Lonchura striata: one gene and its partners. The main gene of each other region encodes a partner of the protein of the gene in region 2 in a complex. Links are inferred from orthologs where the notes say so. Each region holds a gene or a part of one and is shown on either strand. Other genes may lie near its edges.

Region 1 (7,646 bases), on a different chromosome or scaffold from region 2:
TTCCAGCTTGGGCAGAAAACCTGGGTTGTGTGGGGAGGGGGCAGCTTCCAGGACTTAGCTGTGGGGTGTCAGGGCACACCCAGTCCCGGCTGGGACACAGCCCCCGAGTGCAGGTTGATGCTGGCACAGGTGGGGATGTGCAGCCTCACAGATAGATTGGTAATTTGGAGCATGAGTGAATTCTGGGAGCATTTGCTGAGCTGGATAATAACGTGCCCAGTGAGCTGCATCCCATACATGCTGCCAAATTAAAGAAATTTTTTTCTCCTTTAATTTAAAAGTCACCGTTGGGAAATCTCCACTGGCCACAGCAGTGATTTCCCCTAGGCTGCCTTTCTGGAGAAATCTTTAATTTTGATTGTCACACTTTGTGGAGTTTATGTCAGGGAAGTAGAGCCATAAATAAGGTGCTGCTTCAGCACCCAGCCTCCAACTGTACCAGGACAGTGAATGGCACTGCCACAGGTGGGGAGCAGGGACAGCCTGACCACAGGCATCCTCTCCCCTTGCACCTTCCTCTTCCCTCCCCACTCCAGCCCCATCTACCCTCAGCTCAGTGCCTGGCTTCTCACAGCCTGATTTCACAGGTCAGCAACCTTCAATTTCCTGGGCCCATCCCCACCCCTCCCACCAAATGCTTCACAGGTTCATGAAAATCTCATTAACCATAACACCACAGCTGGGTTCCTGTGCTGGCACTGGAGCCCTCCAGCTCCTGCTGTGCTGTGCCCTGGCATCCAGCACCACGGGACCCCAGGACCAAGCACACAGGGATCCTGGCCAGGAGCTGTGCCAGGCTTTCAGGGTGGGAAGGTGGCACTGGAGAGGGAGGGCACAGGCTGTGTTTTGCTCCATGCTTACAGCTTCACAGCCCCAGCTCAGCTGCTATGGTGCTGTGGGGCTGGAATGGGTGTCATAGTCAGACTGGGGAGGTGGCAGCTCTCAGGGCTACCCCAATGCCTCCAGCTCGGGCAAGCAGCACACAACCCTGATAAGGGGCCTGTCCTCTCCCTCCTGGGGCCTGGGGAGGGCATCTCCCAGCAGCTTTTGAGTAATTAAGAAGCGGGAAGGGATTCAGGCAGCTCCCTTCGGCATGGAGCTGGCACAGTAGTGCCGGGCGAGCTCAGGAAAGGTTACACCATTTGCATTTTACCCTTCAGTAATTCCAACACTTACGGGTGCAATTAAGCAGCAGCCTGGTGTTATGAAGCTATCAGGGCGGAGAGACCTGAATTCCAACGATCTCCGTGTGCGTGCCTGTCCCAGACTGCTCCATCTGTCTGCGGTGACACCGCGCGATGCCGGTGGGTCACAGGGACGGGCTGTGATTCCATCTGATGAACATTTTTCCCTTGCTGGCACCCAGTTTTGGTGCTCTCGGAGGCTGAGCACACGGAGGGGAGTGAGTGTTGGGATGGTGGAGCAGGTCCAGGCTTGTGCCATACTCGTCACTACAATAAAGCATCTGATCTGACGGTGCCTCGAAAGAACAGCCCCTGGCCTGCTTTGTTTGGTGTGTGACCCCCTGATGTGGCAGGGCTGGATGGACCACGATGCCTGTGGATTCTCTGCCGTGGAACAGGGTCTCCTCAATGTTCAGCAGCCCCTACCCTCTGTGGGAGGATGGGGGCTCTGTGGCCATTCTCCTTTCCTGCTTCAGTGGGACAGCAGGCTGGGAGAACTGCTGCCTTTCCCTTTAAGCATCATCCCTGCTTAATTCGATGGTTTTGAGTCCCGGCTCATGATTTCTGCAGCAATTTGGGCTGAGATTTCTCTCTTTCCCTCCATTATCCACTCTGATTAACTCAGCTGGCCCTGTCAGCTCCCATTCCGGCGCGGGAGCCCTGTGAGAGCCTGTTAAAATGCATGAGCCTGTGGCAGTCGCTCCACTGCCCAGCGAGGCTGAACTGAGGGAGGGGGCTGCAGGCAGCAGGGTGGTGGGGCTGGGGACTGTGGGGGTCCAGGGACAGGGTGCAGGTGCTGTGGGGGTGCCAGTGTCCCCCTCTGTCAGTATGGGGGTGTCCTGGCCAGAGTTGAGCCAGGGGGAGACCCTGTGGGGTGCAGGACCCAGTCCCCCCCACATGCCAGGCTGTTGGGCAGCTGAATCTTCCCCCATGCAAAGGCTCGTTTCCCATTGCAGCTCTGACTTGTTCCCTTTTTCTCATTTTAATAAAGACGAAAGCATCCGGAAACGCGGCTGCACCCGCCAAAGAGCGAGATCTGACATAATTAAAAAGTGGCTTCAATCAGGCTGTTTTCCTAATGGTTTGTCATATCAGCCCGCACGGCCCTGCACCCCCTGTGCTCCCAACCCCCTGAGGCATCATTTACATTTCTTAATAACCCCTCATTAATATTCATGACGTGGGGAGGGTAATAACGGCTGAGTGCACACCACTAATTCAATTTCAGCGAGCCTCTGTGTGTTTAGTTAATCACTGGGGGACCTGGGTTACTCAGTACAATTATTTATTCGGAATTAGATCTCGAGGCATCTGGATTGAAACCTGAACTCGGAATAAAATTAAACCAGGATTCTCCTCCTCTCCTCCTCCTCCCACCTTCGCTCCTATCCATGGTTCTGAGCATCCCCTGCAGCCCTGCTTTGCTGGGATGAGGATCTGGCGTTTCCATGCTGAGACCATTGCATAAGCCTCACCTGCAGCTGCTGCTGGGTCCTGGCTCCTCTGTGCCCCTCCAGGGAAAAGTGTCAGCAAAGGCCTGGGGACATGGTCAGCCCTGAGGGTGGCACCCCACTGCCTGTGGAAGTCAGGAGTCCTTGTTCTCCTGACCAAGCCAAGTCCCAGGGTTTGCTCCAGCCTATCCAGAGCCTTCAGCCTCTTATCCAGCTTTGTTGCATGTTCCACCTGGGAGAGGCTGGTGCCAGCCCCAGCACCACTCAGCTTCTCGTCTCCATCCTTCATTTATTTGAGAGCTTTTTTAATACTTTGGTTTTGCTCCTGGTTTTGCTTTTTAATTCAGTATTTTGTCCCTGTGCTCCAACTCACCTTATTGGATAAAAATTCTGTTATTGCATCCTGCCCTGTAGGACTGGATGAGAACTGAGCGGTGCCTCAGTTCTTCAAATTCCTGCTTTTGTTTTTTTGAGTGATCCCCCGACCTTTGAGTCCTGTCAGGGAGGTGAATTGAACATTTTCCATCCCTTTTTTCATCGAGGCGAACGCTCTGGCTGTGCTCAGGTTGGGGCTCTGCTTGTCAGTGATGATTTTTGGCTTCCCCCAGCTCCTCCCAGAGCTGCTCCACTCAGTGGGAATGAGGTGCAAGGGAAGCCCTGGGGCAGGAGCAGCTCACCATATTCTGTGTCTGTGGGTGGTCAGTCCTTATCCCCAGTGCTCTCCATGTGTATGCTACACCTGCTTTTTGTGGTTATCCCTGGGTGGGGGGGGGTCAAGCTTCCCAGTAGCTGAATCCTGTTCCTAGTATGTGCCAGTACCCCTCAAGGGTCTCAAATTGTGCAGGTTTCACAGCTGGGGAATTATCTGAGCACTCAATATCCCAAAGCCAGATGAGCTAATAATTATCTTCTATTTATCTCATCTTTAACATGCAGATTTGTTGAGTTAATTTTGCCATGACCGATCTCCTATATTTTCTTGAAACAACAGGGGACGCGAGGGACTCCTTCAAAAACATTATATATTTTTTTAATTTTCTGAGATTCCTCAAACCAGACTCCCGCTGAGATAACTGCGTAAGAGCTGCGATCATTATAAAAAAATTATTTTAGCTCAAAACTGTTTTTTTTTTTTAAAGCATAGCTGCAATAAATTCAGTAGGATTTTGGCCGAGTTGCCTCTCTCCTAATTATTCTTATTTGTTAAATTGAGAAACGCCTCAGTCTGTGCGGGGTTCTGCATCTTGTGGAATTGCAGGGCGGCTTGTCACCAGCTCGGCAAGCGGAGGGGCCGCCGCTGCCGCGCTGGGAGCCGGCTCCCGGCGTGTTTCACGGTGACAACGGCTCCCGAGGGGCTGGGAGCGGCAACAACCGCGGCAGCCTTTGGAGGTGGTGGGAACGTGCCACAAAAGAACGCCGATCCCGCGGGCCCGGCGGTGCGGGGCGTCGCCTCCCCCGCCGTGACAGCGGCGCCCGGCCCGGGGCACAGCGGGGACGGCAGCGCCGGGGCCCGCCTCGCCCGTGGCGAGCGCCCCTGTCCCCGGTGGTGTGTCACGCTCTCGGCCTCTCCCCGCCCTGCGGCACCGGGGAGGCACCGGGGAGGCACCGGGGAGGCACCGGGGAGCCCCCGAGCCGCGCCCCGGGCCCCGCCGGCGGCCCCTCTCCCCTTCGCGACAGCGCCGCGCTGCTTTACGGCAGTGTGGCGCCTCCCCGTCTCTCCCTCCCCGGCACGGCGTCCACCGCCTCGCTTTCCGGCAGTGTGGCCCCTCCCCGCCTCTCCCCGGCACGGCGCCCACCGCCTCGCTTTCCGGCAGTGTGGCGCCCCCGCCGCCCGGCCTGCGCTGCCTGCCTTACGGCAGGTGTCGCGCGGTCCCGGTGGTTTGCGACAGGCTCCCGGTGGCGGGGCCCGGTGGGTGCGATGGACGTGGGGGAGCTGCTCAGCTACCAGGTGAGCTCGGGGGGCTGCGCCCTGCTGCGGGTGCCGCGGTGCCCTGCGCTCCCGTGGCCCCGCTGCGGCGGCAGCGATGCTGCTCCAGCTCCGGTGCGGCCGCGGGCCCGGGGCGGCCGCCGTGCGGGGGTCACCGGCCCCACTCGGTGCACGGGGTCTGGTGAAAGTGTCGCTAAGTTCTGGGGGTCTCTCCCCTTCTTGTGCGCGGCGGTGCCCGGTAGGAGCGGGTTCCCGGGGCTCGGCAGCGTCGCCGGTCTCGTTTCGGCACAGATCGGTGCCCGCCGGGGCTGCAGCGAGGCCTCTCCTCCTTCCGTGGCTGTTCCAGCGTCTCTTTCTCCCTGTTGTACGACAAAACCTTTTCAATTTCATTTTTTATCAAAATACGTTTTTAAAAGTTTTCTTTATAGAAGTTTTCCTTTACTGGGTGCGTTTCGTTCCCTCGCCCTGCGTTCACTGGTGGCTCGCTGTGTGCAGGTACCGAGTTTTGATTTATTGTCCCAGGAGCAGATTTCCCTGTGGAACAGGGAATGAGGGTTGGAACTGCAGGAACATTTGGATACCTTGGCTGGGATAATGCCGGGCTTGGCTTCAGTTCTCAGCCCGGCTGCAGCCGTGGCGTTTCCCTGGGTGAGGAGAACACCCCGAGGCGGTGTAAGAGTGGCCAGGTGTGCTCCCGAGCTGAGAGCGCAGAATTCCTGGTGGAACTCGGTGCCCTCCTGCTGTGCCTCATTCCGTGGGGCACAGAGATGAAGTGAAGGGGGTGTCTTGCTGTTCACTCCATGTTTGTGCTTTGGGAATGCGTTCTTTGGAGATGCTCAGGGAAAAAAGACAAGTTGCTGTTGGGTTTGAGAAGTTTCTCAGCAGTTTTCCCAATGGTATTGAAGTTTCTGGGGCAGTCTGAGAGCTCCACTGGATTCTTCCTTGATAATCTCCAGGATGTTTCCTTCTGTGGATTGCTCTGTCTCAAACATCCTTCCACACCCTGCTGCATCCAACAGCACAGCTCTGCTGGTCTAAGGTCTACTCCACTTCTGTATTTCCCTATCTTCTTCAAATGTGATTTTTCAACATCAAATTAGAATTTTCATTCCTTACATTCCTTTGAGTCTTTGGCCTCCTCCACCCCATCTGGGGCTTAACAATGCCATCCCTTACATGTCTGGGATGCAGGTTAAGACACAGAAGTTTAACAGGTAAACCTGAATGAATTTTCTCATTTTTTAGCCAAGTTCCAGTTTGGGGTTTTGTTGGTTGTTTTTTCTCTTGCTCTCAGAATGTGAGCTCCCCAAGGTTCCCTCCACTCTGGAGGGGAGTGTCCATTCACTTTGCTTTGCTCACTTGGATTTTGTGCAGCTTTCCCTTGGATGAGCTTTCAGCACGGTCAGGGGGTGATTGCTTGTGACAGTGGGGGCTCTATTCTGTCGAGGTAAAGAAATGCTGCTTAGCTGCAGGGTATCTAAATTTTAATTTCATTTCTTGCTGCTAAAATTGTTCTTAGCTGTGGGGAAAAGCATTCTGCAGCTTTCAGCCAGCTGCTGAAATAGTTCCTGAAGGATTTGTCCTGGCTCTGTGTGCTCCTGGGCAGCACAGCTGAATGCAGGTGCTTCTTGTGTCACTAGCTGAGGTGGTGCTTTAGTGAGCTTTGGAAGCCAGTGGTGTTGAATTTAGACCTCCAGAACTGGGGCAGTGGTGAGTACAGGTGAAAGAAGTGGAGGAGCAGAAGGCAGGCAAATAGCTCTGCTTCTGAGAAAATGAGATTCCCTTCTGTGAGGGCATTTCCTGCTGAGAGGTGGGGAAAAATAGTTGGAAGCAGCAGATTTCACTGCCTCCCATCCTGTGGGTCAGGCTCTGCCTTTGGGGAGGGTGGCTTGAAGAAGATGGCCAGGGGAGGGTGGCTTGTCAGCTCACCCAGCAGCTCCTGGCCCACTCCAGCCCTGGATTTGGGAGCTTCCCTGCTCTGGGCTGGCTCAAGGTCTCCTTGGCTGTCCTTATCGAGGGATGGTACCGGCTGTCGGGGAGGTGGAGTGGTGCCTCAGCTCTCTGATTTTAATCTCTTGCTGCAAATGAGTTGGTCTTCTCAACCTCCCTCAGCACAACCCAAAATAATTGCTTTCCTCTTACACTATTTTGAATTTTCTCCTCTAAATGTGTAATCTGTGCCCTTGCTTCAGCAAGAAGATGTTCTCCCTCAGAGCCAAACTTGGCGTGGAAGACTGCAGGCACCGTGCCACCAATTCAGCACCAAGTGTCTGCCAGAACAGGAAAAGAAACCTCTTGCAACAAAAAATACAATTAAACAGCACCTGGCCATTTATACAAAGCTCAGGAATCCATAAACTTTACGTGTTGCTGCAAAACAGTTGCAGATGGTCTAAAGTGATGATTAAATATTGCTGCTGTTTGCCCAGATCCTCCGTGTTTGGTCTCTGATTACAGAGGGTAATTAAGAGGATAAAGCCAACTCCGGGGCTATTCAGAGTCTTCTTTCAGTTGTCTTGGGAGGGAATAAGGGACATTATTTGAATTCTCATTAAAGGCAGATTTCACCACCGTGGGTGATCATTGCAAAGCGCTGATTTTTTGCTGGAATGTCAGTAAAATCAAGTAGCAGAAGAAGCAGTGAGGGATGGGGTGAGATGTGCCTCCACCCGCTGGGCCATCTCCCCGTGCTCTGTCGGGGCTGAGGGCGGTGTGTGCAGGGATGGATCTCTGTGCATCCACGGGGGCACATCATCATTTCTGCTGCTGGTACGGATAATTTGCTGTCAATTTGCAATGTAATGGATGCATCTGATGGTAGGGGCAGCTCAGCTGAGCTGGTTGTTGACTGCTCACAGAATTATTATCCCAGTAGCTGCTCTCCTGGCGGCAGTTAAAAAAAGGAGCCGACATTGGCTCAGCTGTCTGCCTCATCCCTTGGCTCTGCTCCTGGAGTACAGCCCCATGCTGCCAGAGCTGGCTTGGTGCTCTCACAGGGTGGCAAGTCAATCTCTAGTTTACTTCCCAATAGATTGTCTTTGACCACCAAACCAGAGGGTGTCAAGAAAGATCCCTGTCCTGTGC
Region 2 (7,940 bases):
AAATAAAAAGAGCCTTTAGGTGTTATGTAAACGTCCTCTGGTTAAAAATCAAAGACAACCATTCCTTCAAATCTAGCAGAAACACCAAATAATGCTATAGTTGACATCAATGGTCATTGGAACAACCGAAGTGACAATGAATAATTTTTAACCCTGTTAAACCTGAAAACACAAAAAATGTAATGACTAGACTCATCCACCAACTGCCAATATTGAGATAAAGAACAGTTTAAGACAATTTAGGAAATTTGAAGCAGCTAATAAATACACTCTTTTCCTACCTGTTGATTCACTCAATTTCAGTAAATATAATATGGAACCAAACTACAAATACCTTAAAACACTTCCTGCAAAGCAACAGTATCCTACAGCAGCACCAAAGGATCACTGAATTTCAAGTGGAAGAAGAATTTCAAGTAAATTTCAAGCAATGGAGAAAGCTGTGGAAGGGTTAACCGAGAAATATCAACACTCACGTGGATTCCATCTCTCTCAGCTTAGCCCCAGCTGTGAGCTGCATGTTCTTCCTCTGCCAGTTCAGGTCTTGAATGTTTTTCCTGGGGAGAAAAGGATGCATTTTTATTTCCTCATTTCTTTGGCATCTGCAGTACCTGTTGCTAATTTCCAAGTACACTCAATCCCTAGAAGTACTGCCAGAAAATATTTGTGTAGCCAGGACTGTAATGACAACATCCAGATGGACAAATCTCAGTACAGGGCTCACAAAGAGCCCTGAGATAAATAAAAGTAAAAGGCCAAACCCAACATCAGGGAAGATGTCCTTACAGAGACAATTGCACACTAAATTATCAGTAGTGAAATTAAAGCATTGCTACATTTCAGGGAGGGTTCCACAAATCCAGAGCAGAGATTTAAACAAATCAAACACAGAATTTTGAGTAGAACAGACATGATGAATGGGACTGGGGAGGGAAGGGTCACATTTCTTCATCATTGTTTTTACTGGGTCTTTTTCCCTGTGACCATGGCAGCAGCCAGCATACACATCTTCCTTTGTACAGCTTGGGGGGAGAGAAAGGTTCACTTCCAATTTCAGTACAAAAATATAAATAAGAATGACCCACCTCAATTTCTGAAGCTCTTTCTGGGCTTGTTCTATCATATGAACCAGGTGCCTGATGACAGAATGCAAGCAAAGCATTAAAAACACACAACTGCTAAAATTTCAGCCCCATTTCATCTGACATTTAACTTCTCAGAGTTCAGGATTCAACAAGCCCCTGCAGCACCTTGTTCCAGCCAGCAGATCCTTTACCTGCTTCCCTTCTCCTGAGCTCAGGAACCCTCTGCCTTCTCCCTGAGCTACGTTTGGCATTCCTTTGACCTACTCTTCTATCTAAGGCTCAGCCAACCCTTCTCAAAAGTGGACATTAACATTCTCTCTCTGAATTAACCCCAGTACTTCCTGCAGCCATACTCTACAACCTCTTCTTAGCTTTTGCAGCAGCTTTATTATGGCTCCAGGCTAAGCCCAGGATCTGTAGTAACTCATCTCCATTTCCACTAGTGAGTTATTTCTTCACAGGCTATCACTAGCCTTAATTAACACCCACCAGCATCAACAATAACCCACAACATTCAAGAGTGGGATGTATTAAACACATTCTGTTTCTTGGCCACAGAGACAGCTTTGAGATCAGCCTCCTCTTTCACTCACAGCTCTCTCACAGGATTTCATCTATTCCAGGCTACATTTTAGAGATCCCCACCGGATTTACACCCAATAAACAAACAGAAATCAACACAGAACTTGGTGCTCAGCAGAGCAGCTGAGGCCTTACTCGTTGTACACCTTCCAGGCATTGCAGCCGTGCTGGGACATGAGCTCCAGGTTCTCGATGCGCACGGCCTGGTGCTCCAGCTGTGCCATGGAGTTGTTCACACACTCCTGCCACGCCGTGATGTCGTTCTTCTGCCCAGAGGAGGGGGCGGGCAGCTCGTACCTGCAAAGGGAACGGGGCACCGGGCACGGCTCACCTGGGACACCGGGCATGGATTACCTGGGCCATGGCTCACCTGGGGCACCGGGCATGGCTCACCTGGGACACGGCTCACCTGGGACACGGCTCACCTGGGGCACCGGGCACAGCTCACCTGGGACACGGCTCACCTGGGGCACCGGGCACGGATTATCCAGGACACGGCTCACATGGAGCACAGTTCACCTGGGACACCAGGCATGGCTCACCCGGGGCACTGGGCACGGCTCACCTGGGACACGGCTCGCCTGGGGCACCAGGCATGGATTACCCAGGGCACAGCTCACATGGGGCATGGCTCACATGGAGCACAGCTCACCTGGGGCACCGGGCATGGATCAAATGGGACACGGCTCAACTGGGGCACAGCTCAACTGGGGCACGGCTCACTCAGGGCACTGAGCACGGTTCACCCGAGACACCGGGCACAGCTCAAATGAAGCACAGCTCATCCAGAACATCGGGCATGGCTCACTTGGGACACTAGACTCAGCTCATCCGAAGTATTGAACACGGCTCACCCGGGACACCGGGCACGGCTCACCCGGGACAGGCACTGCCCTGCCGGCCCCACTCACCTCTTCATACTGAGCAGCTCCAGGGGCTGCCGGGCCGCCAGGCGCTCGAACTCGTTCCGCATGATCTCGGTCTGCGGGGAAGGCAGCAGTGAGGGACAGGGGCGGAACAGTGCATGAGACAAGCGGGCACGATGGAGACAGGACACAAACGGATAACGGCGGAGGGACAGCCGGGGCAGGGGCGGAGAGACACAGGAGGGGTACGGGCACACGAGAGGGGTACGGGGCAAGGACGGGGACAGGCAGGGTCTGTCCCAGCCAGGTCACGGAGTGGGGCCAGGCGGGGTATGGGGGCACCGGGCCGGGCTCTGGGAGCTGCCAGGCCGCCTCAGCTCACCTCGAAGGCGCTGTAGTCGTGCGCGGGCAGGTAGCTCAGGTAGTTCTTGGTCGGGCGGTACCGCCGCGTCTCCTCCTCCACCAGCGCCGCGGCCTATCGCACACGGGGCGTCAGGCAGGCGGACAGCCCGCCCGCCGCCCCGGCCCCTCCCCGCCGCCGCCGCGGCCCCGCACGCACCGCCTCCCGCACGCCCGGCGCCTCATAGCCCTGATCGAAGTAGGGCAGCGCATCCACCACGACATCCCCGGCCACCAGCCCCGGGCCCGACATCTTGGCCGCGGCCGCGCGCACTGCGCGTGCGCAAACACGTCACGCCCGGCGGGGCGGTGCGCTGCTCGGGCACAAGCCCCGCCCCCCGAGAACAAACCCCGCCCCCCGAGGCCAAGCCCCGCCCCCCGAGAACAAGCCCCGCCCCTCCGAGGCCAAGCCCCGCCCCTTCGCGGCCCCGCCGCTCCCGGTTTGACTCCAGCTCCGGCCCCGCCGCTCCCGGAGCGATTCCAGGCCTTGCCCCGCCCCTCCCGGAGCGATCCCGACGTGGCCCCGCCCCTCCCTGCCCGGTCCCGCCGCTCCCGGAGCGACTCCAGCCCTGGCCACGCCCTCCCCGCCAGGCCACGCCCCCTTAAGGAACGGAGACACGTGAACGGTTGGATCGATGAGCTGTTATTGATCCACGGAACTGGTTATCGGTCCGTGGAACTGGTTATTGATCCGTGGAACCGGTTGTTGATCCATGAGCTGCTATCGGTCCAGGAACTGGTTATCGGTCCATGGAACTGGTTATCAATCCAGGAGAGCAGCTATCAATCCATGGAAGTGGTTATCGGTCCATGAACTGGTTATTGGTCCATGAGCTGGTTATCGGTCCATGGAACTCGTTATCGATCCATGTACCCGCCGCACACCCGGAGCCCCCGGCCCGGCCCTCCCGGGGCACAGCTCGGTCCGGCCCCGGCGGGGTCCGCGTTCCCCCTCCCGCCGCTGTCCCGCAGCAGCGCCCGGTCACTTTTTCTGGAGGAATTTCATTTTACTGCCTGCAGAGAAAAAACAGCATTAGGAGCTTTAGGCGAGGGTGGTGAGGCTCGGGCACAGGTGCCCAGAGCAGCCGTGGCTGCTGGTGGATCCCTGGAAGTGTCCAAGGCCAGGCTGGACAGGGCTTGGAGCACCCTGGGACAGTGCAAGGTGTTCCAGCCATGGCAGGACTGGTCCCACCCAAATCATTGTGGGATTCTGTGAAATGGAGACACTCCAGGACTCATCAGGCAGAGGAACTTAAGGTGGAAAGCCACACATGACCACCTCTGCCAGCAGACAAAACTTCTGTCCCCTGGGCATGTCCCCAGCCAGGACCAAAGTTAAGGAACAAGCATGCAGAGCAGCAACTTCCACAAATTTCATCTAAAGATACAATATTTTAAAAAGAAAAGAAAAATCTTACACAGTGTTCAGTGTCCCCTGAAGGAGTAAATGTAAACAAGGGAACCCAGATACAGAAGGAGAAGCCTTTCTCTCTTTTGTAACAAGTGAATTATTCAATAGCTACAATTAATTTAAAAAATAAGCAATGAGCAAAAGCAAGGGGTGTTCCTTTACCAAGGCTGCGAAGGATTTTGTTCATTCCAGTTCGTTCTGTCTCTGGAATACTCTCCAAATACTCCAAGGCACGGACCTCAAAAAGGCCTAAAGAGAAGAAAAAATTAAAAATCACTCACCAAATCAGTTATTCCACCATTTAGCACGTGGCATCATGATTAACAAGGCCACAAAAGGAAATCCTGCATACAGTGTGTGTAAGCTGCAGGATCAAGGAGAAAGGACAGAGATGCAGAAATTCTTTGCTTTATAAACTGAATTCTTTTGAGTAATTTAGAAGGGCATGGGGCTATTCCATGTGACAGAATTCCAGCAGCAGAGGCAGGTGGCATTGTACTTCGAGAGGAGTCTGTGGAGCAGACTTGAAACAAGAAAGTGATGCCAAAACAAGAAACAAGAGGGCAATGCCACTGATGCCTCAGGTTTTGGCTTTTATATTTTTCAGATTCTGTGCTGCTTTAGTGTGTGGGTCTGGGGTCCATATTAGGGGATGGTGAGCTCTCTGCACAGAGCAGGGAGACAAAACAATTCACTATCTGGGGACCAAGGACAAATGATCCAAATCTCAGGCCCAAAAGCACAAACAACGTGGGATGAAGAGAGAAAAACAAGAAGGATGGGACTTCATGGGCTGGAGCTGTAATTGGACAATTAGCTCCAATATGCAAATTGAGCAGAACTTATAAAATTGAGAGACCTCGTGACCAGTTGTCCATTTTTTATGACCATTTTGGTTCATCTTGGGTGCAGCCCTGGCTGGGCTCTTGTGCTGCCAAGGTGGATCCATTGAGGAGATCCTTTTAATAAATCCCTACTTTATTCTTTAGCTCTGTCTTGTGGGTCTCAGATTCAAAGAGAGAAACAGAAAGTTTCTAACCAGGCAGAAGGCTGGGAATCTGCTGGAAAATAATGTAAATAAGAGGTTTATCTCCTTATTGTTCACATTGTTTATAGTTAAGTTCTATCACTGTTCGTCAAGCACTCTGCACCAATGGTGTGGTTGTTCTCACTTCGGGACCAATGGAATTGTCTGTATAAAGAGCGGTGCATTCTGAATAAACCAGAGTTTTACTCTCACAGCCTTCTCCATCAGTCTATTCATTCCCATCCTGCCTCGACAGCGTCACTGCCCAGCTCTTTCCCAGGGCATCACCTTTGGCCAGGCTCTTGCTGAGCTCGCGGTCCTGGATGAAGCCGGCGAACATCTGCGTCTCCATGAAGCAGTGCAGGAAGTGGCGCACGGTGCGCGAGCCGTGCGACTTGCGGAAGGGCTCGCGCTGGAACACGCGCTGGCCCTGCTCCGTCACGTTCATGTGCAGGGAGTAGTGCCCCACGATCTCCACGAAGAACTGCACAAAAGCCTCCGAGACCAGGGAGTTCAGGGTCGTGGCACCTGTGGGGAGGACATTTGTCACTTTGGTCATTCCTCTCCTGAGGATGTGTGTCATAGATTGCGAGGCAAGATGCATTCAGTTGTTGTCTGTTAGAGGTGAGGCAGTTGTCTTCTGTTAATTGGGCAGTTTTCTTTATCTCTTCCACAACCAGTCCTTTCTCAGGGGAGTCATCTGCTGATAACGAGCTACTGAATGTCACACCACGACTGATAAAAGTTACAGCATCCCATTATGAGATGCTCCACCCGGAGGGAGCATTTCTACCTGGATATAATCTTGAGTTTCTGGAACACCATTATGGCTTTTCCTGCACTGGATTACCCAGAGAAACAGCTGCCTCTTCAGAGGAAAACTAAACCTTTTTCTACAGGAACTGCACCCTTTTCTTCAGGAACTACATCTTTTTCTACAGGAACTACACCCTTCTGTGGAACTACACCCTTTCATACAGGAACACTGCTCCAACAGAACCACACCTGCCACTCCAGGAGGACTGCAGCCATAATTCCCAATTGGACTGCAGCCAACACCCTGACCAACAGGGTGTCAGGTTGTGTTCTGACTCTGCCAGTGTTGTTTTGGTTCACTGCATTGTTTATTTTGTCTTTTTATTTTCTTCCTTAATAAAAGAACTGTTATTCCTGCTCCCATATCTTTGCCTGAGAGCCCCTTTAATTTCAAATTGATAACAATTCAGAGAGAGGGGGTTTACATGTTTTTGTTTTTTTTTTTTTTCATTTCAGGGGGTGCTCCTGCCTTTCTGAGCAAACACCTGTCTTTCCAAACCAAGACAAGGTGACAATCTGGTCAGAGAGAGAGAAAGCTAGATTGTAGGTTTTCTGCTTCCTTTTTCTACCTCTATTTGGGTCAGGATTGAAGGCACTTCAGATGGTATTTCATGTTCAGACTCAGGTGTTTATAATTTCCTATCAATGTTCCAGTCTCACAGCAGTGAGTTCTGCAGTCTTTCATTAACCAGGCACAAAATGGCCAACTATCTCTCGTTACAAGGTCTTTTGAGGCTAAACTATCCAATTAAGAAATGACAGCTAAATTATTTTCTTTTTTAACCCAATAACTGATCCCTTGAAGCCTGCACTGTGGACTACTCTGTCCAATTACAAACCACCACCCAAACCCATGGAGAAGAAGGAAGAAGAAGGTGAAAAACAACCTGCCTCAGCTCTAAAACCTCCATCTTGATTCATATTTATTTCTATATTCTAAAACCCCAAACTCTAAGTTTTCCACCCTGTGACATTCCACACTTCCAACAAACTCCACACCCATAATCCCAGTGCTGCTAATTAATTTTGGAAGCCTTCCCCACAGCCTCAGGTCAATGCAGTGCTCTCTTGCAGGTCTGTGCCTTTCAGCACAGAAAATTTAAAATTCTCAGCATCCAGGGTTCCAACACTAGATAAGCTTTCCCATGAATTGGTCTGAGGGAGCTGGAGAGAAAGAATTAAAACAATCCATAGGTGGTGTTTTGTAATGAGTTGTTTTCCTCATAAGATGTTTACCAAAAGGGTGGGTTCTTAATTAGCCAATGGTGATGTGTTTTAATTAAAGGACCAATCAGGTCCACCTGTAGAGAAACAGAGTATAAAAAGGAATGGGTTTTTAATAAAGTGGTTATTAGCCTTCTGACCTAGAGTCTGTGTCACTTATTACCCGTTCCTGACTCAACAGGGACACTCTCCAAAAGCTGATAGGCCAAGAAACATTTATAATGTATTGTAATTAGGAAATAGTTAATTTCTGATTGTGAGGGTGTGAATTATAACACTGCATTATCTCACCCTTCACATGAGACTGAGAATGGAATAAAAGTTTTTAAAACACCTCTCAGTTGCCCCATCTCTGGGTCAGCACAGGGCTTAATGTGACACTCTCCTAAAGGAGGAGTGGCTTTTTCAGAGAGCTCAGTCACTTTTTGTGCTGTCTGTCTCAGACTAGGAGATTGCAGGTGATTGGTATCAAAGAAGTCTCAGCTCAAATATTCAATTTCCCAGTGTCAACTTTCTGCTGCAGCTGGGAC
Region 3 (7,760 bases), on a different chromosome or scaffold from region 2:
ACTTTATGTAACTATGACGTACTTTGAACCAAGGACTCAGCAGATTTCAACCATAAAATTAAATACATGTAGGAGTAACATCTTAGGGATTTATTTGATATGCACACTTCAGTAGCCCAAATGCTGTCAGCTGAATGTGCTAACAACCTGCTATTCAAGAGTGAGGACCTGTGAGGTTCCTGTTTAAAGCATACGTAAGTCTTTGGACAGTTAACAAGCCAAAATTCTGGACTAGAAACAGCTGAAACAGTTACAATGGAGAACACCAACCATTTCAGGTTCACACTCTCAACTGCCAAAAATGCAAGCTGTGGTTGCCAGTAGTTGCCAGTCCTGAGGAGCTACATAAACCTTTGTGCTGGCAAGGCAAAGGTAAAACCTGCTGCTACAGGCTTAAGGGTGGTGGAAAGCACATCCAGTGCTACTTGCCACTTGTCACTAACACTCAGGAAATATGATTTATTAAAAAATACGGATATTGATCTAGTACCGGTATCCAACTGTGATGGACAAAAACTCTCTAACAGTTTAAAGTTAGAAAGTGTATGTTTATTTGATGCCGGGCAGTGTGTGGGATAGCTCCCAAATACACACCATACCTTCCAGGTGATTACAGAGTCTTTATCCATACAAGTATTGAATACCCAAAATACAAATACATATTCATAATTTTGGTACATCCCTGTGGGAACCCCAGCCTTATTCTGGGTTCCCATGTGGTGTTGAAATTCCTCCTCCAACTTGTGCTTCCAAAGAAAAACTCTGCAGGCTTTTGCTGTTCGGTCTCAAGGCAGTTTATTGTTAATTATCTAAAAGATTGTCTTCTCGGGCTGCGGCTGCTTGGTCAGTGGCCCGGGCAGAGACACACACACACACTCCTGACACCCTCCCTGTTTGCTGTCTTCTTCTTTTCTCCCCCCGCCCAGGGCTGCTGCTTTCTTTTATATGATATATTACGTATTACATGTTTATAGTTTTCCCCCAATACCTACTACCTATATTACAAGGTGCTTTTCTACTCTAAACCAATCCGTGAGTGCCAACATCACCAAGAACATGGAGGCAAGGAAGAAGAAGGAGGAAGAACAGGATCAGCCCACTTTCCTCCATCTTAGAACTTCTGACCCCCATGTACAAAGTAAAAATCCCCCTGTACAATACTAAAAAATTTTCCCCTCAACTTTGTAATTACTTCTACTATAGTATCTAACCTTTTGTGACTGCTTGTTCCACCTCCAAAGTTGGTAACTCATTCCATGGCTCAAACTCAAAATCACAGCTGTTTTCAGCTGCCTGCCAGGGTCTAAAATTCTTCTGACCAAGGCCTGGAACCTCTAAAAATGTCTGAGAGACATTTTGAGTTCCCACACATCCCATTCCCCGCTTTGTATGCTAATCACTCCAAAAGCTATTAAGCATGAGTAGTTTGTCCCTTGAAATGGGTCGGTGGTCCCTTTCATGGGGAGGGGTCACAAAATGAGGAAGTAAATGAAGTCTTCCTCATTCTGACCTTTCTACTTTTTCAATGCAAATATGACAAATGAACTCTTGGTAGAACTCCCGTTCCTTGTCTTCAATTGGTTTCAGAACAGAGGAGGCCCACAATTGTCTTATGTTCCTAAACACTATTTGTCAGTTTCTATATTCTTCATTATAAACACAGCTAACTAAACACTGTGCTGACAAGCAATCAATTATTAGTTAACTACTAACTCCTAACTTCATCAAGGCCTACTCATTTATTATTATTATTTTAATTAACTCTAGTAAGGCTTATTTCTAACTAAAATCTTAGCTCCTCTGAAATCTCTAAATTCCTTAAAGTTTATGTTTCAAATATTATAGATGTTAATCGGCGCTTCTTTTCAAATGTGCACAAGACAGCCTGCTGGATGCTGTGACTTGAGAAGCCAGATTTCCAAGCCTCTAAGAGATAAACAAATGTAGTCACTATACACAACACAACATCTACAAAAAAATATGATAAATTGTGACAGGAATTAACTAATGACAACAAACTGAAGGAGTCCATCCACCTCTTGGTCACGAGGCAAGAAACTTTTCTAGCATGTGACAGCAGGACAGTAACAACAGTTATCACGGCAAGATGCCTGCTTTTGATTAGTAATTTATTGCCTGTACAAAAAATTCCCAAGCTAAACCAGCACCTTGCCCACTCCCCTTCTGGTATCACAAAAGTGATGGGATACTGAACTTGGAAAATAAAGGTTCCCCCGGCAATAACGAAACACAAACACCAATCAGCTTTCGGGCTGCCCTTTCGAAGACGACTCAGTAGCAGCCACCCTACGAAGTACCGACTTCACCCCATCACCCGGAAAAGCCACACAGGAAAACACCTTACATAGGGAACAGCAAACAAGTATCTAAAGAATCGGAATCGAGGCACGCTCTGAGATGGAGTCAGCACGCTTCGATAAACTTGACCCCCGCGGCTGGAATCCACGGGAGCTCCCCGACCCACGCCCTCACCGCCACAGCTCCGACCCCCACACCTCCAGGCAAGGCAGGGCAGGGCCAGGTGACGGCAACGCACTCCTCCCGGCACCCCGCCCTTTCCGTCCCGCTCTCCCAGCCTGGGGCTGCCCCCAGCACTGTCCCGGGCCGGCGGGGCGGACACAACGCGGGCAGGCGGGCGGCCCGGGCCCGGGGGCTGCCTACCTTCACGGCTACTTCCGGGGCCGCATCGACGGGCAGGGCAGGGGGCGCGGCGGGCGGCGCCCGGAGGTGCAGCACGGCATCGCGGCTGGCGAGCACGGCGGCGGAGCGCTGGGAGCCGCCCTCGGTCTCGGGCTCCGAGTCGGGCTCCGAGTCAGAGCCACCGTAGGAGGCGAGCGCGGCGATCGCCGCCGACATCTTGGCGCGGGGGATGACGGGAGGGACAGGTCCTGGCAGCTCCTCAAGGCTCGAGGCGTCCCTTCCCCCGCAGGAGAGGAGTGGAGCTGCGTCTTATAGTTGTGGCTTATCAAAATAGAAAACACACTCTAAAGGTTAAATTTGGTTACAGAATATACAGGCATTTGATGGGAGAACATCCCACTTGGCTGTTGATGGTGCTTAACCTTTCAGGACTCCATAGTAGGACTACAAGCTTCAGCATGCAACGCGGCGCCGCGCTCGGAAGTTTCCCCTCCGGCGCTCGCCTTCACTTTGCGCGGCGGCAGGGGGGGAAATATTCAACCTCCCGGGGAGAACCCCAGCCGCCCGCTTCTTCCCCCACACAAAGCGTCTTCGCTGTCTTTTCAACAGAAGGCAGCGGAGCGCAGAGCTCAGCCCTGCAAAACCCCGGGTTGTCATCCGCGGGCTCCCGCCTACTCCGGCCCCGTGCCGTGCACGGGGAGCTCCGCCCCCTCGCGCTGATTGGCCACTGACACAGCCGGCTTCTGTTACGTCACAGCGGCGGGACTCCGCCCCACCCGCGCCGGGGAGAGGGAGCCCGGCGGGCCGGACTGTACCACCTGCCCGCCCGCGGGGTGGGGGGCGGCGGCGCATGGACCAGCCCGAGCGTCGGGCGGTGGGGGGGGGCGGCCGGGTTCGGCCGCCGGGTAAACAGCGCTTCCCCCCCGCTCCCTCCCGCCCGGCTCGGCGCGCCGGGAGAGGCCCCGCCCCCCGCGCGCGCACACACGCGCACACACACAGAGACACGCGCGCGCTGCCCGGTGTCTATTGTGAAGCCGCCGGGGACGCTCCGCGCCCGCCGCCGCCCCCCGAAACACGGAGCCGCCGGCTGGGAATGGCCGGCGCCGCCTGAACTTCCAGCGCCCGGCGGCCGCGGAGGGAGGGGCTGAGGCTGAGCGGCGTGAAGGTGCGCAGCGAGGGCAGGCGAGTAAGTGCCCCCCGCCCCCCTGCCTTCCTTCCCTCGCGGTCTCTGGGGCGGGCGGCAGGGACCGGCCCCCGCTCCCCATCGCCCGCGGAGCTGCGGGACGCGCCTACCCCACAAAGGGACCGGCGCTCGCCAGGTGTCGGTCCCCTCCCCTTTGTCCGCGCCCGCGCGGGGGGCGGCGGCGGGAGGGTGTGATGGAGGGAAGCGGGGAGCACGCCGCGGAGCCGCTTTCCTCCGTCTCCCCGCAGCCCCCGCGGGCAGGGGCATGAGGGGGGCGTGTTGCGAGGCGGGGGAGCGGAGGGGGCCGCACTTGTGCCGGGGCACGGCGCTTCCCTCTCCTTCTCCCGCTGTCGGCCGCCCCGTGTGCCCGCGGCGGGGTCGCTCGGCGGGGAAGGGGCGGCGGAGCGGGGCCGGGGTCAGCGCGCGGGCGGGCGGGGGGCGGCGGGGTGACGTCACCGCCGCCAGGTGCGGGAGAGGCGCCCCCTCCCCTCCCCGCCGCGGGGCCGGGGCTGGCCAGGGCAGAGGTGCGGACGGGCGGCGGGACCGCCGGCCGGGGCGCAGGGGGATTCGGTCCGGTTCCAGGGCAGAGCTGCCCGCTGGAACACTGCTACCATTGTTAGGAGGGCTTGGAGATCGCGGGGGATGGCCGGGAGCGAGGAGAAGCACGTAGGTTCCAACTTCTCCCAGCCCGCTCCCGAACGCCTTCCTTTGCGCCCGCGGGCAGGAGAAACGGGAAGGACGGAGCGCCGGGCGAGGGCCGGCTGTAACGCCAGGTGCGTGCATTGCACGCGCTTGCACCTGGAGCGGTACAGTGCCGTGACTTCCCTTCGAGCTGCATGTGCTTTCAGAATTAAAGTGAGCGCACAGTGACATCTAATTGTGACACAGTGGCATTTAATCTGATTAAATGCTCTACTTTGAATTTTCCACCCTTCTCAGCGGTCGCGGTTTGACATATTTGTTTTCTTAGCTTGAGAAGGTATCACTTGGTTTTATTTGTTTTTTTAAAAAAGGCTAGAATAAATCTAGCGGACATATAGAAAGTGTTGGTAGTGTGGAGTGGAGCAAGTTGCTGCATTAAGATCTGTTCTATTAGACACAGGTATGCTATGTTTTTGTATGCTAGGACAGGATTTAGGTAAAAGTCCCACACATTTCAACACCAAGACCTTTTGTTTGCATCTCCAACAACTGAAATATGCTGCACTGAACTAGCATTTCATATGGTAATGAGCTGACTTTTTAATGGTAAATCTATGGATGATGAATCCGTAAGTAAGGAAAGCTATATGAAGCTTCACATGAATCACTGCTTATTAATATCAAAAGGGGCTCTTCCCCTGCAGTCAGTTGGTTTATTGGCAGCAATTGTTAACTGATTCCATATGACTGCATTCCTTTTTCTCTTGGCATGCAGATCATAGGTATTGTCTGAAGTTTAAAGGTGTGCTTCCTGAAAAGTGAAAAATTTCAAGGCCTATTTGTGCAACCAGTGTGTGATATTTCATCTGGAGAACTGTGTTGAAAATTATTAAAGTAGTTCTGCCTTGTTAACCTTGAATTTTAGGTGTTTGAGTCACAAAGCTTTGGTGGCTGACATAAGTATGTTCAACTATGTTGTATTCAAGCATCCAAGTTTGCTTGCCAGTGAAATGTAATCATCTGGGATTCTGGGTGCTTTTGTTGTAGAACCTATGAAAATCACTTACTGGTTTAAATTAGCTGCCTTTCTGGTACCAGCAGTAGTAGATAAGCAAATACATGTGAAGGCATTCAGGGCAATACTGTCTGAAGTTTCCCGTTGCTTAAATAGTAGCAAAGATTAATTTTCAGCAAGCAAGTCAATGTCACTCCTGGGTATGAAAAACTGACCTGACTATGCTTTGAAAGTGTAGATGGCTAATATACACCATAATCTAAAATCTGGTTTTGTCAGAAAAGCTGAGGAGTTGCTCCTGGTCATTTGTGTTGAGCTAATATGCTGGCTTATCTTGACTATCAATGGCATATTTGTAATTTCAAAAAGAGTTTGATTGGTATAAAACAAACTGAAAGGATGATACAGCTTTTCTAAAAAGCTCTGCTCATTGATTGCTGTATGCTGTATGTTCCCTTTTAACCGAGTTCCATAAAATGTGTTGTTATGCGTTGGATGCTGCTGGTTCTGAGGCAGACTGAAGTAGTGGGTGGGAGATGGTTTGGGTTGCTTGGCTTTGCTTTCCATCCAGCTTTTTCACTGCTGCTTTTCCTTGCAGTCACTTACATTCCTTTGGAAAATTAAAGCAAGAGAAGCAAAAACTGTCTCCCTTTGTACAGCAAGGGAGACAGTTAACATATCAAGTGGGCCTTTTAACACTTGTTTGTTGTTACTCCTGGTGGTAAATACTGTACCAAGTATTACCATGTATTTTTCCCTGGTGAAAGGAAAGAGGAAGAAGTATTTTAAGAGTGGTTCCTTGAGCAGTAGAAGCCTGGCTTTTACCTTTTTTTGTTTTGTTTTTTTTTGGTTTTTTTTTTGTTTTGTTTTGTTTTGGTTTTTTTGTTTTGTTTTGTTTGGTTTTTGTGTGGATTTGTTCAGGGTTTTTTTTAAACCCTGAGAGTGGTTGTAAGCTCTAATGGAATTTTTTTTTAGTACAGTCTCATCCTTTTGTGGATTGTCTAATGTCTGACAGGGTGTTAGTGCATTCTGAATCCTTTCCCTTGGTCAGGACAATCACAGCATCTTGATTTCATGAACTTAGCATTTTATAGGTATCTTTGAGAATTCTACACCTCTGTCAAATTTGGTTAGTTTCAGCCAGCTAGTTTCCAAGTGGAGGAACACCCATCAACTCCCCCCCCCCAACACTTCCTGTTTGAGACCGGTTTGCTTCACCTTTTGGGGTACACTATATTAAATTTTAACTCAATGTTTCACAAATTTTCCTTCAGTCTTTTTCTTCCCTATAGCTGATCGCAAAATCTGTTTCCCTCTGCTTTTAATGTATTCTATCCTACTTTTTTTTCCCTTTACTTTCTTTCATAGTTCTTTTTTTGTTGATTTCCATGATGGGCATGCTTTATATCACACTCTTGTGCTTTCAGCTGGTTTTTTCATCCGCACAAAAAATGATGCATATAATTCTGCTTATTCTCGTTTTTCCTCTCTGTGTTTTAATACTCCTAAATTGCTATCAGCCCACTTGCATGTTCTTTCACTTCTCATCCACCAAGATCTGTAATGCTGCAGTTTGGAGGAAAGGAAGGAAAAAAAATCATGACTTATCAGACAGAGGATTGAATGAAAATATGAAGTTCTATTGTCTGTGGGCTACAGCATTTGAAAGAAAATCAAGTTTTTTTGCCTTGGTTCATATGCTCATATGCTGAGAAAAGGTATAATGATGTAAGTCTTATCAGGTTACTCCTACTGCATTTGGATTGGGCCCTTTTATAAGCACCTGCTTGTGTGTCTGATGCATCAAGGTGTACTCTAATTTAGCTGCTTGGAGACTGAAGCACAATTTAGAACTCGCGCTCTGCTATTTCTACTACCTTGGAGCCTCTGACTGCTGCAAGGGTGATAATACCCCTTTTCTAGTTTTTGTTATTTTGGACTATATCCCGGATTCTGAAAGATACCAAGGCGCCAGATTGCAAAAAGAGTTCTCTGTTCCAGTACATCTGTGAATCAGTCTCCTTAGGTTTTTTGGAAGGGATCTTGAGGTTGTCTGACACAGATTACATGCTATATATTTCATGTTTACAAGGTGTGGTTTCAAAGAAAGAATGATATAGGATAAGAATGGAACAACTTAGACTGTTGTACTTACTTCAGATGACTTTGCAAACTAAATAATATTTGTTGCATTTGTTGCTCTTCCCTAGAGGATGGGAGCTGTGCAGCTTCTTCAAACTCCTCAGCTACATATGCAGT
Region 4 (7,688 bases), on a different chromosome or scaffold from region 2:
ATTTGTGCTGCAGTCAGTGTCCAGCTGTTTTCAAGACTGTTCCAAGTCTTGTGTTTCTGAGGTTGTGCTGGTAGTGCTGGATATGGCATTTTGGAGTATCAACAGCTGAACACACTGGACATGCACCCCAGATAGTTTTTATCTGCTGTGCTGGAGGCTGTAATATAATGGCTAGTGACACAGCACTTGTGGCTCTGATTCTGCAGTGTGTGACTGCACATTGTCTTTTGGTGCTGACTTTAATACCTTTCTGTCTAGAAATGTGAACATAACCTGAGCAAACCAGAATTCAATCCAACATCTATCAAATTCAAGATCCAGCTGGTTGCTGTGTAAGTAGGAAATGGGGGCTGGGGACAGCAACTCCCTGCTTATGCTTAGTTAATGCCTTCTATTTAAATTTCCTTTGACCTGTTGTGGGATTGTATCATCCCTTAGGATCATGTAATCACCTTTTTTAATTATATTTAGCTTATCTGTAATAGGCTGGCTTGCTGATCTACTTAAGATTTCAGCAGTTTGACAAAAATACTGCATGCTGTGCCAGCCGCAGACTGTAGCAGGGTTTTGTAGGATTAGGGTTATGCTGCAAAATGACCCTTCATTTTTCCTTTTAGGAAAGCTCTAATAGCTTTACAGACAGCAGCAGAGTCCCTCACAGTCATTTGCTCTGTTATTTTGTAGTAACTACATCCCTGAAGTGAGAATCATGTCTATTCCCAACCTGCGCTACATGAAGGTCAGTAGCTTTTCCAGAAGTGTCTTAGGCTGAGACATAGCCAGGAGCTGTGAATGTGGGAATCTTTTAGGAAGATGACATGGTGTGATGATTGTTCCCTGAGGGCTCCACTCACTCCATTTAGAGGGTACAGGGTTTAAGGGAGTGGCCAGAGTAACACTGTATGTACTTGTCACTGCAGCAGTAGATTGCTGTGCAGTGTGACATCATCACTTGCCAATGTCTGAAGAATAAAAGGTGTGAAACTGAGATTTCAGCTAGACTCCCAAAATACATATTTCTTATATTAATTAAGAGTTTTGCATGGCATTGGTGCCTGTTTTATGAACAGGGGGTAGTCTCTGTCCATCCATTGAGAGGATGTGATGCAGTTTTTGAATGTGTTGATGAGTCAGAGAAGATGGAGATGCTTACAGTAACAATGAATTTTCATACAATTGCTTCTTGAACTTTGATTCCTGAATCTCCTCAGGAGAGCCAAGTCCTTCTGACTCTGACTAATCCCGTGGAGAACGTCACACATGTCACATTGCTGGAGTGTGAGGAGGGAGACCCTGATAACATCAACAGCACTGCCAAGGTATTGATTGTACCCTCCTGCTGGGTAAGTCCAAGCCTCTTCCAGGGTTTGCCACTCCCATTTGTCCTTCCACAGGACACACTTTTCATATGTCCTTCAGCCCCTGCTAACTGTGCTGCCTTTCCCTCCTTGGAGCTTAAATGACTGTCACAATTGTGACAGCAGCTCATTAAGTATTTTGAAATTGTGTCAGTTTGTTGATATCTAAAACCGAAGGGAGAAATTTATTATTTCACTGTCAGGATGGTAATCAAGCGGTCCTGAAGCAGGGAAAAGCTGAGGATGAATCACTTTTCTGTTAAACCACAGTGAAGCAGAACTCAGAAGAGAAGAGCCCTCTCCTGCTTGCAGTGCAGCTGATGATCAGTGCTGAAAGGCTTCTTTCTCTCCATGCTCTGTTTCAGGTGGCAGTTCCTCCCAAGGAGCTTATTCTGGCTGGCAAAGATGCTGCAGCAGAGTATGATGAGCTGGCAGAGCCTCAAGACTTCCAGGATGACCCTGAGTGAGTGTCCCGTGGGGATCCTCTCCCTTAAAAACTTGTCTCTTTGAGTAACTCCCTCTCCTCCTGTGTGCCTTCAGTGTGGTTTGAGTTCCTTTGAGAGCATTGTTCTGCTTAGAACAATGCTTTGAGAACTTGGCTGACCCAGTGTTCCTGTGTGTTCTGCCTTGCAGCGTTATTGCCTTTAGAAAAGCCAATAAAGTGGGAGTTTTCATCAAGGTCACCCCACAGAAAGAAGAGGGTGAAGTGACCGTGAGTTTCAAGATGAAGCACGAGTTCAAAAACCTCACTGCTCCCATCCGGCCCAACGAGGATGGTGACCACACGTCGGAGGTGATCTGGCTCACCCATCACGTGGAGCTCAGCCTCGGCCCCGTGCTCCCGTAGCGGCTCCCAGCGCTCGCTCCCGACGGCTGGATGGACTGGCACCCGGAGAAAGCACCTGGTGGAAGGTTCTGCCAGAGCTCCTTTGTGATGTGTGGGTGTGCCACGGGCCCGGCCAGCTGCCAGGAGGGGGCTGAGGCTGCCGTGGTTTGGGCTGGTTTGTTTTCTCTCCCCTTGTCGTAGTGCCCACTAACCACCACTCCACTTCCCCTCACTGCCACAGGCTAGAGTAACTTGCAGCACGTCTTAGAGCACAGAAGATCTTCCTCAACAGATGATTAGGGCTGAATTTGGATTTAGCAGCAGAAAAGAACCCATACTGTTTTTTTTCCCCGTGTCAGCCCACAAAGCTGATGTTACATACCCAATGAACAGCTTCTCTTTCACAAAGGGCAATGCCCTGACCAAACAAACAGTTTAAGGAGTGTCCCTGCCTTCTGCATTCTGGCAAGTTACTGCCAGCAGCATGATCTTTTCTCTTGGTTTTCTGCTCTGTCATAGAATACCTCAACTGTGGGGGCTGGGCCATAGGGCCCTACCCCTCTGGCCTATGTAGCTTGCTTAGCCAAGGTGGTAGAGGTTTTTTCACAAAGGAGTTGATCAGTTTGCCTTTAAACTTTAAACATAGTGTACTGTAGTGTTCATGGATCTGACTGGCAACCAAGCCCACCATCAGACCGCTGCATCTCAGCTGGATGTGCACAGGATGTGCTGAAAGCTGGGAATTCAGGTTCTGCTGCAGCTCTTGACTGAGGCAGGAATGCTCTGGAGAAGCAGGGATGCTCCAGAGAGGCTCCCTGGCAGAGCTCAGCTCAGTAAATGTTGTGTTGCTAGGGGTTGTAGCAATGAGGTTATGAAACGTGAAGCGTTAAGATTAGTTCTGGTAATTATAAAGCTACAGCAGTGATTTGGGTTGTAATCTTTGTTTTTCCAGTTAGGGCGGGTGGGAGGGAGGTGTAAAGGTGGAAACTCATTATATGTTAACTACACACACTGTACCAGAAGGTCATGTACCCCAGGGTATAATTTGGCTGCAGTCCAAGCTAAAATGAGTGATTAAGAGCTGTGTATCCAGGAGACTGGCTTACCAAGAAGTGCATGGCTGGTGCAGGCAGGTGAGATGGCTCTTCCTGCAGAGCATTCCCACTTCAGACGTTGACCTTTGTTAAACATTTCTGAGGGGCTTTGACGTGCTGCTGTGCTGGGAAAGGCTTGAATACCAGCCAGCCACGGCCGTGTCATGATGCTTGTGCCATGGCTCTGGCAGCCTGCATCTGCGAATCCTCTGCGTGGAGGGGCAGGATGAGGCTGCCTGCTCTCTGGGGGGGTGGTGCAGCATCCCAAAACATCTCCCCTAGCGCAAGGAACCTGCTGTGGTGTGCTGGAGGGGCTCACAGCTCACAGGCCTGGTCCCACAGCGGGTCTCTGCAGCGAGGCATCAGTTTACAGCTCTGTGTAGGTGACACACAGATGTACAGCATGAGTTAGAGACTTGTAGTTAGTAGTTAATGTGTAGTGCTAGTGCCTGCTGCGGCTTTCCCTGTCTAGATAACAAAGCACTTCACCTCTGTCCACAACTTCGGTTCAGTAGCCAAAACAGCTGCTGCACTTGCTACCACAGAAAGACCTCCCAGGAGCCAAGCCTAGAGCTGTGCCTGGGGCTGGGGTTTGCTGCAGGCAGTGACCTGCGCCCTTCTCGCTGCAAACAAAAGGTGCATTGGGTTGTGTCGCTCTGACAGCTGGGCGAGCTCTTCTCTCCTAGGCCATAGGAAAGGCATTGGCGTCTCCCTGCGTCTGTCCCTGCTCCGCCACAGGCGCCTGTTGCCTGATGCTTGACGTCGTGTAGTGACCTTCAATAAACCACACGTGGCTCTTGGATTCTTTGCGCTGGCTTTTATTCCAAAATTATCATTATTTAAACAAAACAGAGGGCGGAGCTCCCCCGTCTTTTCCCAATGGTCCCGTCCCCGTGCTCCCCCCGCCTCCTTTCCCGTGGTCTCGCCCGTGGAGCTCCGCCTGGAGCGCCGCCTGCCGCCGCGCGCGGTGACGTCACCGCTGCCTCAGCCCGCCTTTTCCGTCACGGCGCTGCGGGGTGTGGCGTCACTTCCGGCCGCCGCCTGCCGGCGCGGAGCGCGGCCGCCATGTCCACATCGCTGGGCTCCAACACCTACAACCGCCAGAACTGGGAGGATGCGGTGAGCGGCGCCGCGGGGGCCGGCAGGAGCGGGCCTGGCCCGGCGGGGCCCTGCTCCGCCGCGGGAGGGGCGGGGCGGCAGCGCCGCGAGGCGAGCAGAGCGCGGGGAGGCGGCCCCGGGGCTGGGACCTTCTCTGGGGACCCGCGCTGGGGACCGGCCCTGGGGACCGGCCGTCCTCCCTGGGGACCGGCCGTCCTCCCTGGGGACCCGCCCCCTGCGGCCGAGCCGCCCCGGAGGGCTCCACCGCGGTTCCCCGGCTCTCCTTTCGGGCAGAGGGGACGAGCTGCTCCCCCGCGCCGCGCTGCAGGGGCTGTGGCAGCTGCGGGGCCCGAGCTGGGCCCCTCGAGTGCCCCTGGCCGCGTCCCCTCCAGCTGGAGCCCTTCCCGAGTGGGCCCAGTGCATACAGTCGCTGCTGAGGCATCACGGGGGCCATGTCACCTGCTGCAGTCCAGGCACTGACAGCTTCAGATCTTAATAATCTCTTTTTATTTGCTTATTTTAAGTTTTACAACAAGCTGCAATAACAACCATAGTATGATTCTATATTAATTTCGGTCTGGGTCGTGGCTTGCAGCTCTCCCGGTGTCTCTGAATCCATTTGCATCTTTTAATCATCTGATGAGTTAAACTAGATCATTTTTCAGAGTGTAACTTGAATGCTGTTGTGATGGCAGAGCTTGTGACAAATTCCCAATTTTCTTCTTGCTCAATTCAGGACTTCCCTATCCTGTGCCAGACGTGTCTTGGAGAAAATCCCTATATCCGGATGGTATGTGCCTCTTGGAGCCTGCAGTCCTTCCCTCTCTCTGTGGTGGCCCTAAAACTGTGGGCTTGGGACTGAAATCGGGCTGGGTGCAGGAGGAGATGCTGTGCACACTCCTGAACAGCTGGTTCTGCACAGCAGGGTCTGGTTCCAGCTGCTGTTGGTGTGTAATCTCACAGTTAGGGTGTGAATTAAGAACAAATCAATCACGAAGGTGAGGAGATTACCCAGCCCAATGTCTGGAGTACAGGAAACAGTAGAAAATGAAATTTTTGTATTGGCAAGCTCCAACATGGACAGCTGTGAGGTGCTCAAATTCTAATCAGTGCAATTTCTAAAATGTGACAGACATGCACCTCTAAAGTCAAGTTAAAGGTAACTTAGGAAGGTAGCTTAAGTTCCTGCTTGTTTTCCTGGGTTTGCTTTGTGCAGGGTGAGTCAGTCCATGTTCTGTTGCTTTTCTCTGCCTGCCCGGGTTGCCCATGACCTACATTGACATTATCTCCTTCACATTCGTGTTCCACAAAGTTTGCTGAGGGAGATTGGGCTGTTCTTGTGAAACATAACCCTGATGCTACTGTAGGGGATATTTCTAAACCCGTTTGTTTCCATGAGTTATTCAATGTAGCATCATCTCGCCTTAAAAAGAGCTATTAATGCTCCTTTTCATTCTCACCTTTCATCAGTACAGGAGGTGGGACTTAAAGTACTCTGTTTTTAATTGAAGTTTCTAAACCAAAAGTGTATTGAGAGTATTTAGGATTTGTATTTTTTGTCCTGTTGACTGTCCAAGGTGTAAGCCAAATACTTAGGGATGAGTGAGTCTAAATGCAGCATAATTATGAAAAAACCTACTGTGTTACAACATCAATGATATGTTCCATGTTTTACGTTGAATTGGTGAAGCTTCATGGTTTTTTATTTTTTATATTTCAGACCAAAGAAAAATATGGAAAAGAATGCAAGGTATGTTTGTGTGTTTTGACGAAAGATAGTCAAAATCAGTGCAGATCTAGGAACAATTCATCTTAAAGATTAAAAACCTGTCAGCTTCAGAAGAGTGCTTATCTGGGTTAACTTAAAATGTTTATGTAACTACATACATTTTTAGGTTAGTCTGCTGTGCTTGTTAGAGTCAGTTGGTCCTAAAATAGTAAAATTATTGAGTAAATCCTGAGTCTGTAAACAAATCTTGATGTTTATCAGAATGAGGTTTTGCAAATACTGTTGTACTATATGTGAAGTTATTGCAGGATTTAAAATGATCCATGTCTTCTTGGGTGAGTTTGTTTTTTTTTACTGAGAAGTGCAAAATACCTGGAGTTTGGGTTTTACTATGTATGTTATTCATGTTATTTGGTGATTTGTGTTGTCTGCCCAAGAAATAAGCCACAATTATTTCCAAGAGCAAGAAACAATCAGTGTTGCCTGGACTGAGGGAAATTAAAGGAGGCTTTTACCCTTTTATCAGTTTCCATCTGAGGTAGTAGAGAAAAGGTATAATTTGGAGTCTGTACATATTGAGATTGTATTGTGTACTCAAGGTGTACATGCAGAGGAAGCAAATGCCTCATTCCATGAGATAAGAGGGAGCATCACTCTTCTGCACCAAAGCTGTCATAAGCTCTTCCAGGTTGCTGCTGTGCTGGTGCCTGATATACCCATTGTTGTAATTCATCTCTAGAAGCTCCACACTGACATCACCTGGAATCAAAGAGAATTTGTAGATCTTTGAGTAGATCTGCACTTGGATTATTGCATTAAATAAAAAGAAAAGCAGCAACAAAAAAAAAACCAACCAAAACAAAACAAAAATTTCTCTAAAACTTTTTGTTGTCAAAGTAAAACCCCAAATAAAAACAAATATTTTATGAGCTCCGAGTCTTAGCTTTAGGACAAAGGAGTTGTATTTATGGTTTGGAGAAGCTGGATGAGTTTGGAGTTTGTTTCCATGCAAGAAGCAGAATGGCAGCTCTGTGTAGAGTGAACCCAGTGCCACCCTTGTGTCCCAGATTTGTGCCAGGCCCTTCACGGTGTTCCGCTGGTGCCCCGGGGTGCGGATGCGCTTCAAGAAGACAGAAGTGTGCCAGACCTGCAGCAAGCTGAAGAATGTCTGTCAGACCTGCCTGCTCGACCTGGAATATGGTGTGTACCCAAAAACCTGATCCAAGACAGGGGGCTGCCCTCTGAAGTGGGAGCTGGTGAAATCACTTTAAATGTGTGCATGTTATTGTCACTGGACAGTCTTTGAGAAGGACAGGTCTTGGTGGTCATATCTCTTCAGAGGTTCAAGTGCAGAGTTGTTTCCCTGAGCAGCAGATGATTTACCTCTGGTCACTGCAGGTTGCAGAAATAACTGTTTCTGCTCTTTCAGCTTGTTCTTCATATGGATTGGTTGGGGTTTTTTTGTTTCATTTTAGGTTTGCCTATCCAAGTCCGGGATGCAGGACTCTCCCTTAAGGATGAAATGCCTAAATCTGACGTCAACAAAGAATACTACACCCAGAACATGGAGCGAGAGGTAAGTG

What was found.
Region 1: BCAS2 (region 2) and CTNNBL1 share a complex: the UniProt entries of both Homo sapiens proteins name them as parts of the PRP19-CDC5L splicing complex. The link is inferred for Lonchura striata from reciprocal best matches to the Homo sapiens genes BCAS2 and CTNNBL1.
Region 3: BCAS2 (region 2) and CDC40 share a complex: the UniProt entries of both Homo sapiens proteins name them as parts of the postcatalytic spliceosome P complex. The link is inferred for Lonchura striata from reciprocal best matches to the Homo sapiens genes BCAS2 and CDC40.
Region 4: BCAS2 (region 2) and RBM22 share a complex: the UniProt entries of both Homo sapiens proteins name them as parts of the postcatalytic spliceosome P complex. The link is inferred for Lonchura striata from reciprocal best matches to the Homo sapiens genes BCAS2 and RBM22.

What each region holds. Positions count from the first base shown.
Region 1 is NC_134619.1:8,136,030-8,143,675, reverse strand, and holds the start of CTNNBL1 (beta-catenin-like protein 1), read left to right. Parts: upstream 1-4,439; 5' UTR 4,440-4,553; coding exon 4,554-4,583; intron 4,584-7,646. UniProt on the Homo sapiens protein: Component of the PRP19-CDC5L complex that forms an integral part of the spliceosome and is required for activating pre-mRNA splicing.
Region 2 is NC_134632.1:1,994,612-2,002,551, reverse strand, and holds the start of BCAS2 (pre-mRNA-splicing factor SPF27), read right to left. Parts: upstream 3,232-7,940; 5' UTR 3,186-3,231; coding exon 3,093-3,185; intron 3,009-3,092; coding exon 2,916-3,008; intron 2,650-2,915; coding exon 2,579-2,649; intron 1,965-2,578; coding exon 1,803-1,964; intron 1,137-1,802; coding exon 1,086-1,136; intron 558-1,085; coding exon 477-557; intron 1-476. UniProt on the Homo sapiens protein: Required for pre-mRNA splicing as component of the activated spliceosome. Component of the PRP19-CDC5L complex that forms an integral part of the spliceosome and is required for activating pre-mRNA splicing.
Region 3 is NC_134605.1:69,081,012-69,088,771, forward strand, and holds the start of CDC40 (pre-mRNA-processing factor 17), read right to left. Parts: upstream 3,270-7,760; 5' UTR 2,878-3,269; coding exon 2,683-2,877; intron 1-2,682. UniProt on the Homo sapiens protein: Required for pre-mRNA splicing as component of the activated spliceosome. Plays an important role in embryonic brain development; this function does not require proline isomerization.
Region 4 is NC_134617.1:6,222,548-6,230,235, forward strand, and holds the start of RBM22 (pre-mRNA-splicing factor RBM22), read left to right. Parts: upstream 1-4,266; 5' UTR 4,267-4,343; coding exon 4,344-4,397; intron 4,398-5,112; coding exon 5,113-5,166; intron 5,167-6,096; coding exon 6,097-6,126; intron 6,127-7,172; coding exon 7,173-7,305; intron 7,306-7,580; coding exon 7,581-7,681; intron 7,682-7,688. Other genes in the region: DCTN4 (dynactin subunit 4), read left to right, coding at 259-332, 685-739, 1,212-1,319, 1,724-1,821, 1,992-2,205. UniProt on the Homo sapiens protein: Required for pre-mRNA splicing as component of the activated spliceosome. Involved in the first step of pre-mRNA splicing.